Drosophila melanogaster: one gene and its partners. The protein of the gene in region 1 interacts with the protein of each later gene in a pairwise test. Each region holds a gene or a part of one and is shown on either strand. Other genes may lie near its edges.

Evidence for each region.
Region 2: the proteins of CG6610 (region 1) and CG9344 interact in a two-hybrid assay, tested with the Drosophila melanogaster proteins (one large-scale study listed by BioGRID).
Region 3: the proteins of CG6610 (region 1) and SmF interact in a two-hybrid assay, tested with the Drosophila melanogaster proteins (one large-scale study listed by BioGRID).

What each region holds. Positions count from the first base shown.
Region 1 is NT_037436.4:6,073,975-6,076,906, forward strand, and holds CG6610 (uncharacterized protein), read left to right. Parts: upstream 1-1,561; 5' UTR 1,562-1,665; coding exon 1,666-1,714; intron 1,715-1,786; coding exon 1,787-1,983; intron 1,984-2,048; coding exon 2,049-2,078; 3' UTR 2,079-2,284; downstream 2,285-2,932. Other genes in the region: CG13295 (uncharacterized protein), read right to left, coding at 1-515, 574-998, 1,059-1,143.
Region 2 is NT_033778.4:20,975,099-20,978,141, forward strand, and holds CG9344 (uncharacterized protein), read left to right. Parts: upstream 1-1,957; 5' UTR 1,958-2,056; coding exon 2,057-2,147; intron 2,148-2,218; coding exon 2,219-2,367; 3' UTR 2,368-2,502; downstream 2,503-3,043. Other genes in the region: CG34115 (uncharacterized protein), read left to right, coding at 496-525, 1,497-1,582, 1,641-1,758; CG15650 (uncharacterized protein), read right to left, coding at 2,630-3,028.
Region 3 is NT_033778.4:12,183,268-12,186,397, reverse strand, and holds SmF (small ribonucleoprotein particle protein SmF), read left to right. Parts: upstream 1-2,087; 5' UTR 2,088-2,208; coding exon 2,209-2,475; 3' UTR 2,476-2,554; downstream 2,555-3,130. UniProt on the Drosophila melanogaster protein: Plays a role in pre-mRNA splicing as a core component of the spliceosomal U1, U2, U4 and U5 small nuclear ribonucleoproteins (snRNPs), the building blocks of the spliceosome.

The DNA of each region.
Region 1 (2,932 bases):
TCGCTGAGCGAAGTGGTGACCTTCATGAGGTAGCTTGCATAGCCACTTGCCTGTTGTTTGGGCATAAACTTGCGACGACCTATCTGGATGTTCAGTAGAACCTGAGACAGTGTTCGTTCATACACGGGCACCACCTTTAAATAGGCATCGTGGTGCGGAATGTTCTTGATGAAGTCAATCCATGTGCTGAGAACATCACCAGTAAAAAGCATCACATGGCCTTCTAAACTGATGCCCGTAAAGGGAGCAAAAACCACTATGCGACCTTTCAGGGAAGCCATTTCCAACAAATGGGTGTTGGATAGTCGCTCAAGGGTCTTTAAACAGCCACGGTAGTGCTCAATGTTCCAGCCGCACTCGTAACGAGCATCTTGCAACTCCAGTTTCTCTACCAGCATTTTTTTCAGTTTGTCGATTTCGGCCTGCAGATCCGCAGTTTCCTTAGAGCGCTGTTTGGCTGTGCCAGCATTCTCTTCCAGCCAGGTGGTCAGCACTGGACGCTTACTGGCACGTTCCTGGGTTAAGGAAATAAGTATATAAATGGTTTTTTAAATTTCAAAATTATATACCAACATTCTTCAACTGAGTTTCAAACTCGGCGAACTCCATGTCATAGTGATAGTCATGGCTTGGTTTAAAATCCAAGCCAGAGGTTTTTGGCGGCTCAGGCTGGGCCTTAATGTTCTTCACATACTCCGTGGACAAGTTGCATGACTCCAGAAGACCTTGAATAAAGGTTTTGGGATCTCGGGTACTCTGCCAGTCCGTGCGTATTTGGATGAGCTTGAAGGAGTCTCGCTTGTCAGCATCTGAACTGGTGCGTACATAGAACTTGAGCACTTGGGTGTCCCCGCTTCGCTGTCTGCGTTCATACAAAGCCTCTAGATGCTCACTCAGCAATTTCAGTGAGTTCTCGTTGGTGTTCCTCTGCTCCGGATGCTGGGCAAAGAAGTCAGGATGCACCGCGAAGTAGAAGGGTCTCAGCGCCGTTGTCAGATCTGCAAAAGCGCCCAATCACATGATCATCCAAAAGTTGTGGCGCATTCAAATCAACTGACCTTGGTTCAGCGATCGGCGCAAAAGCAGGAAGTGCCGTCTGCTGGTGACCAATTTCCGGATCTTGGAGCCCAACGACATGGACATTATGTAAGCAGTGGGCGGCAGCACAACACTGCACCGCGTCACAGATGGCCAACATACGGGAGCACTGCCGCGAGATTAAGATTTTGGATATATAACTCCTGATCTTGAATTATGAGGTAAAATTGGTAGGACCGCGGCACTGAATGCCAAATATCCATTACTATCTGGGTAATAGTGGTGGCTGTTTGGGTGGGTGTTTTGAGGTCCCTCATGTTGACAAATTGTTCTTTAAATTCTTGCGATAAAATAGTTAATCTTGATAAGTTTGTCATAAAAAAGTTTTAATGAGTTTGTAATTAATAAATTAATTAGTTTTCAACGAAAACAAATGTTTTAATTAATTTTAAACGTTTAGCTATATTCACGCTAACTCTATCCACAAGATTTTGCAGCACTGACGCTGACACTTTTGATGTGGCCAGTTTTTGCGCAGAATTCCGCATTGTTTACCTCGCTGCTAAAAAGTTTTTAGCGCAATTCCAATTATTATTGTTAATAATAGTAAACAAATCATACGACAACATGACTGCCGTTCCACCCCCCTCCAACATCTCTACCCTAATGCCATTGGGTACGTAAATCTGCTACAGGTCTACAAATCGAGAGTTTCTAACTTTTGCCGGCTTCCCGTACTACCCTACAGAATTGGTGGACAAATGCATCGGTTCCCGCATCCACATTATCATGAAGAACGACAAGGAGATGGTGGGAACTCTCTTAGGATTCGATGACTTTGTGAATATGCTCTTGGACGACGTAACGGAGTATGAAAATACCCCCGACGGCCGCCGCATCACCAAACTGGATCAGATTCTGCTCAACGGGAACAATATCACAATGGTGGGTGCTCTTTTTCGAAGTTACATACGTTTGTTTATTAAATTTCATTTATAATTTGATTTCAGTTGGTGCCTGGCGGAGAGCTGGCGGAGTAGCAAGGTTCCATTTGTAAACATAAATACATTTGTAAAATATCAAAACGGTCGTTTTAATGTGGATAATATTGTGTCGTATGTAAATGTTCGAGGTATGTTAGAAGTTAGCAGTGGTCAAGTGATTAACAGCAATGTTAACAGATTTTTGGTCCTAACAGATACGAATTTGAAAACGCTTGGCTTAGGAAATGAAAATTATTTGCCCTCTAATCTCAGAATAAAACACTATATAATATTACCTAATATACAAAACATTGTTAAATTATCAATTGGAATAGAATTAATTTTACATAAATAAGCATATTTTATGCTTATAGGGACCGGATACACTTGAAATGGAATACCGAAAAAGGTCGACCGCTAATAATTCTGTAAAATGACTTCCAAGCTTCAAAAATTCAAACTTCACATTAAATATTTAGTGTCTTTCCGTTAACATTCAACCGCTACTTGTGCTCTGGCTGCCATGCAAAGTAGGCGCATGCGCTCCATCCCCAAAATGTTGGGTCTCAGCGATACAGCAGTCAACATGTGCCATAAATATTAACCGCTTTTCCCTTCTGGCCGTGCGTGTGGGTGCAGTGCACTCTCCGCAGTACCGCTCTGCTCTGCGTGCGTTCTCCCGCTTCCGTTCGGCACCTCCAGCGTTCAGTACGGCAGCAGGCTTCGACGGAAGTGGAACAAACCAAGCGGAAACAGACTCACGCGACAACAAAACCGAACCGAACTCGAATATGGAAAACTTTTACCCAGAACCGATATAGCACTGATAAACGCAACTCGGAGTGAACTTTATGAATGGCCATGACTAATTGCAGTCATCTAGCAGCAGCCACAGTCGATGTGTGAACTTC
Region 2 (3,043 bases), on another chromosome or scaffold:
AAATCTTCAGACTCATTAGATTAAGTAAAGAAGTGAAAACTATCGATTGATGATGTTGTTCTTACTGAAATTGAGAATCTTTGAATCTTGAAATGGTAATATTTAATATTAACTATGCCTATTGATAACTTACCTTCTACATTTGACTAAGTATAGTATCTTGTATCTTCTTATAATCGGAAATTTATTAGTTTAAGTTTGTCATCTTTCAATTTGCAAATTCTTGGTTATAGCACTTCTTTAACTTGCATTTCAAATATCATAAGAGATAGCTAATTAAGTCTTAGCCCAACTTTTTAAGCCAAGCTTGGAAGCTCCCGCTCTCTTCCAAGCTTTTTTCGCGCTCTTTGTGGAGCGCGGCTTTTGGTAGCTCGCCTGGCAATGCAATTCAGTTGCCAAACAAAACGCGATCGGCTAACAACCTCGTACCGCTCGCTCGCAGCTTTAGCTTTACCGTTACACCAGTGATTGAGCACTACAATATCCGAAAAAACCATGGCTAAATTGAGTGCCCTGCTGCTGCCCGTAAGTTTCAGATAGTTAAATTTGGTTTCTAGAGTGTACCTGCCAAATTAACACCTTGTGGGGGGAGCCCACAAGTCCACTGACACAATTTCCGCCTTTTCTGCGCGAAAGTCGCACCCAAAAAGAAAACCGTCTGCATTGCTCGGAAATAGTGACTTGAATTTCCAATGAGCCCGCGTCAGTTCTTCTTTCAAAATCCATTTGTTTTTAGTTTTTTCGTTTCTCCTTTTTGGCGGCCAGACAATTGACACATTTTCGAATCATATGTGGGCCAAATTCGAAGGCTCTCTCTGGCCATGGGAATGGGGAGACCTTGAATGACACGATCTGGCTCTCTTCCGCGCTCTCTTTTGGCCAAATTGAACGCCAAGCGAAATGTGTCATAATCTCCGGGCAACGAGTTGTGGCCAAGTTGCGCATCGTGGCTTTTATTGTTGGTGTAATTGCATAACCGGCGTCAACAAACCGTTGCTTTCAAGTTGACTCAAAAGCCTGAAAGCGATTTCTTGGCCGTCGTCGCACTCGCATTTATTACCACTTTCGTGCAGCTGACACAGTGAGCCATTGAGCATAAATGTGATATCTAACTTCCCCCTAAATCTAGTTTAGCCAATTCAATTAGCTTTCACATAGATGTGGTTTTTTGTTAGAAAACGAATTAAAATCGTACTTTTACTTACAGCACGACCCTGCTTTTAATTGCTGCAATCGTAATAAAATTAGATTGGATATCTAAAATTTTTAAATCATTTGGTTAATAATAATAATTTACTTCTTAACTTCAAATAAATTTACTCAAATAAATTACGATAAGTTTGAATCCTAACATTATGAGAACTATTTCTAATATTAATTTCACGCCAATAGATGGAGCTTAGAAAAATGACAAAAATTGAATTTTTAACTTTACCCAATTGACTTTTTAACAAACCAATATTTAATGTTTATTAACCACTTTCTTTACTTTCCAGCTAATTTTGTTTATTGTGGCCTTTGTGGCGCACACAACTTTTGCTACAGTGCAGCCAAAAGCACCGAACTTCCAGTACTTCGAAAGGTATGCAATTGTCAATTTAAACTATATTAAATTGAATTTATATAACAATATATTTCAGGCCCAAGTACCGTTATCCCTACTACGATGAACACGGGCGCGGAAAACTTCTCTACGGCTACGGCGGACCGGAATTGTACCAATACAAGACCTACACGCCCTTGGAGGGCATTCACTAGTCCTAAATATCGATTAGATGCAATGTAGTCCGTAATTTATGTATTCTATTATTTAAATTAAACTTTCTTTATTACCCCAAAAAGTGTTTTTGAATTCCTCTCAACTTGAACAATAGATGGCGCTCTTGGTGAAGCGAATGCAATGGTCACATCGAAATGTTGTGTTGCAACCTTACCAAACCTGCAGTGTGACCGCAGCATTGCCGGCATAAAATAACAACTGTATTCACATTTGTTATTTATTATTGCTGCCAAAAGGTTTTGTAAACTGCATTTATTTTGAAATCATCTATTGAAAATGTCCCGCAAAGAGGCCCTGTCGCAGTTCATCAATCAGATACACGGACGCCCCGTCGCCGTAAAGCTGAACAACGGCGTTGACTATCGAGGTGCGTTCAATGAGTTCCCAAACACACTCATCACATTTGACAATTTTCCCAATCCACTGACCAAATTCCAGGTGTGCTGGCCTGTCTGGATGGCTACATGAACATCTGCCTGGAGCAGACGGAGGAGTACGTGAATGGGCAGCTGAAGAACAAGTACGGCGACGCCTTCATCCGCGGCAACAATGTCCTCTACATTTCCACGCAGAAGCGGAGGGTCTGAATACAGGAGGGTCTCAACTGGCATGGCACCATGAAGTTCGTAGTTAGAGAACTCTGATTCCTCTGTTTCCTTCAGAGGGAACCTGCGACAACACAAGTGTTTCATACTTCAATATTAAAGCTGAACCAACTTCTCATCATCCTGTATACAAACCAATTCCAGTAGTTCTTGATATACCCCCGATACATTAGACCTCGTTGCTTCGTTTCTTAAGTTTATTCCATAAATACACTATCTAGAGGCGCTAAATTGCAATCCCCACTCAACTGGGATAGTGCGGTGTGCCATACTCGCGGGGAATGGCGCCAAAGTGGCGCAGTTGTGGCACCGAATACCCCGATCCCAGGGCAGCGATTAGGCGCTCTCCGCGATAGCCAAACTTTCGCTCGTAGACCGGACGCCAGGAGCGACCGAAATGCGGATCGAAGGGGATCTCGCTGGGCTGCTGGAACGGAGAGTTGCCGAAGAACAGGCGGTCCAGATAGTCCAGCACCGCCTTCTTCTTCTGAAAATGCACCAGCAGTGGATTGGCGGTGGCGGCGGTGCGCGGATCCTGCGATGCCAGGTTCTTGAAGTACTGGAAGTTCACCAGATCCACATTGGAGAAGTCAAAGACCCCGGGCAGATCGTGCAGCGTGGCTTGGACTCGCACCGAGGAGCACTGTGTTCAGCCAAG
Region 3 (3,130 bases), on another chromosome or scaffold:
TAATCGCTAAAACAATTAATCAAATGCCAGTGCCCTCAGCATTATCTTATCTCGATCGCATTTGAAACGGTCGATGGTTTCAAATGCAATCTAGAGTGTTTTGCTACCCATGTTTACCTAGATTTTATTAAATCAGCCGTCTTAATTATTTTTAGCTGGCATTATCTTTTCCATTCCAACGCGAATTACAATTAGTTATGATAGGGAGCATTACAATGAGTGTTTATGATACGCTTATAGTAATTCCCGCCATATCTACACCCAATTAAGCTGCTTGTAAAGCTAAATAGAAAATCTTTTCGGGCAGCAAATATGACACTAAAAATTTGCCAGCAAGGATTTCGTCCTAAGCTTTATTAATTATACATGAGACTACTATTTCTATAGAGCAAATGTCCAAAATATATTTCTTAGAAACCAGTTCTCTATTTATTTTAGTAACAGTAACAGTAACCAAGTAATCTTAATTTTCACAGTTGCCCTCAATTCCATATTAAGTGTGGTTTTTTCAAGGATATCACACTTTTTCAAATTAAAATATACAATTTTGTATACCGAATTTCATAACTTACTTTGAAAATATACAGGTTTTTTTAGTCACACAATTTATTTGCAACTGGCCTAATTCGCAACAAGTTTGTCCAGCAATTTCAAGGAAACTTTTATTGGATCTATAAATTCTGAGCACCCGCGTACACAACCGACAATTAAAGCTCTACGCACCGCACTTGGGGCGATTTGAAATGTTGTTTGCGTTTTTATACTCGAAAGTCTCAAAAGTTCTGAGATAGCAATTTCAAGTGCATACTTATAAATTCACCTGTGTGGTGGAAAAAGCTTTAAAATACGACAAACAAACCACAGCAAATCCAGAGGGACTCTAAGATAATTACAAGTCATGATTACATTTATTATAATGATTCTTAGTTTTAACAACCTTATTTACTTTTTGTGTGCTATGGTTTAGTTAGATTTTTAAAAGCGTTAACGCAATACATATACGATATGAAAAGTATTGCACGCTATAATCTATAAATAATTAAACACAACCGGCTTTCTCGTCAAGCTTTTGATGCATTTGTGAATTTCATTATTGTTGCGTTTGCTGCTTTATAGAAACAATTGCAAAATGCCTGGGCGAAATGACGGGATCAAATAAATCTATCAGATAGCTGCGTTCATAGCCAAGTTCCTTGAGGTAGAGCAGGCGATCCAGGAGAATTAGACTCTCCAGCACCGGAGCAAAGGACATGCGCAGCAGATAGAACAGATCCAAGAAGTATTTATGCACGGCATATTCCTGGAGCAGGGATTGAAGTTCTTCTTTCTCAACAGCTGCCAACCAGGGAGCATCCAATTTGGTGGCACACTTTTGAATGTACTCCTCGAAACTCTCGAATTTCCGTACCTTGCCCACCTGCAGTTCGTTTTTCAGCTCCGGCGCATGGCGGCAAACCAGAATCTCCAAGAGAGCTCGATAGTAGAGCGTTACATTAGGCAGCTCCTTGGTGTCCAAGGTGCGTTCAATTGACTGGGCCGCCAGCATCCGCGCATTGCGACCCATTCGCACTTGTCGCTCCCGCAGGTACTGACTCAATGGGAATCCATAGTCTGTTTGCAGCTCCATCAGGGACTTATTGCCAAAGAACTCCTGCTGCGAATAGCGCTCCCGCAGCAAATGATAGCAGCAGCCAACATTACAAAGCAACCGGCAGTCCGTTTGGGCGTGGAAAACCTGAAGACAGGTGGCGGCCAGGTTGCCACAGGTATGCAATCCAGTAAGGCAAATGTTTGGACTGTCTTCCGGTCTAAACTGAGTGAAATTCTCCGCCAGCAGGGCACCAAAGTTAAGTTCGGTGGTTATAAACTTTGCCGTTGTCTTGTAGTTTTCCAAGGCAGGCGCACTCTTGGTGCTCTCCCTGGCTGGCGACTTTTTACCACGTCTCTTGGGCGTGATTCCCTGGACTTGCAGCTCCGCTCGTTCCGTAAGGCCATTCCAAGCGCGCTGAAATTAAATAAAATTTTAATTTTGGCGCTTTTGAATGGTTTTTCAATACTCTTCTTCTATGCTATTCTTCTTCTTGTTCTGGTATGTTTACACAGCGCAGCTGTGGTCACACTACACAAAAAAAACGCGAAAAGCCGGCGATTTTCGGCACGCTTGTTGTAATATTTTATAAAAAAGGCAGGAAAAATCAAATAAACAGAATGTCGGCTGGTATGCCCATTAACCCCAAGCCCTTCCTGAACGGCCTGACGGGAAAACCGGTGCTGGTGAAGCTGAAGTGGGGCCAGGAGTACAAGGGCTTCCTGGTCTCCGTCGACGGCTACATGAACATGCAGCTGGCGAACACGGAGGAAGTGATCGAGGGCTCCGTGACTGGTAATCTTGGCGAGGTGCTCATCCGCTGCAACAACGTGCTGTATATCAAGGGCATGGAGGACGACGACGAGGAGGGCGAAATGCGCGACTAGCCAATGGATTCACCTACATACACCCACACCTTACTTCTAAGTCTACAAACGTAATGAAATAAAGCTAACTTTATTTTGTAAGCCCGGCCTACCTGCAATTTGCGATTCCTATTCAATGCGTTCTCGGTGTTTGCCGCGTTCGCATCGATGCCGAGCACGCGGTGACCATACTGGAGCGCCAAGCGCGAGGATAAATACCCTTTGCCATCGCCCGCGTCTACAATGAAGCAATCTTGACCGGAGTTCTTCACAAGCTGGTCCACGAGAACGGCTGTTAGATCCACCTAATCGGAGAGATTAATCAATTCCTAAAATACTCTCATTTAAAATGGTTGGTTTACTTACCTCATGGCACTTTTTGGCGCTCATAAACTCCCGAATGCTTAGCTGCGTGGAGTTCCCCTGACCCTCTGAAGCGACAGGCGTTCTTGTTTGCTCTTGCCTAGGAATTCTCGCCATGCCGGAAACCTTTCTGATTCATCAGTTTTCCAAAATAGGTCTTCTATGGCCAGAGCCACATCTTCCTTGCCGGCGATCTCACTTTTCAGCGTTTCGGATAAAAAGCCGTCCCAGTGCTGGTCCGTCAAGTAGTTCACCATGTGGCAATTGACAAAATCCCAGTGCGGATTGAGGAAGGCCAGTAAGCCATCCAGAC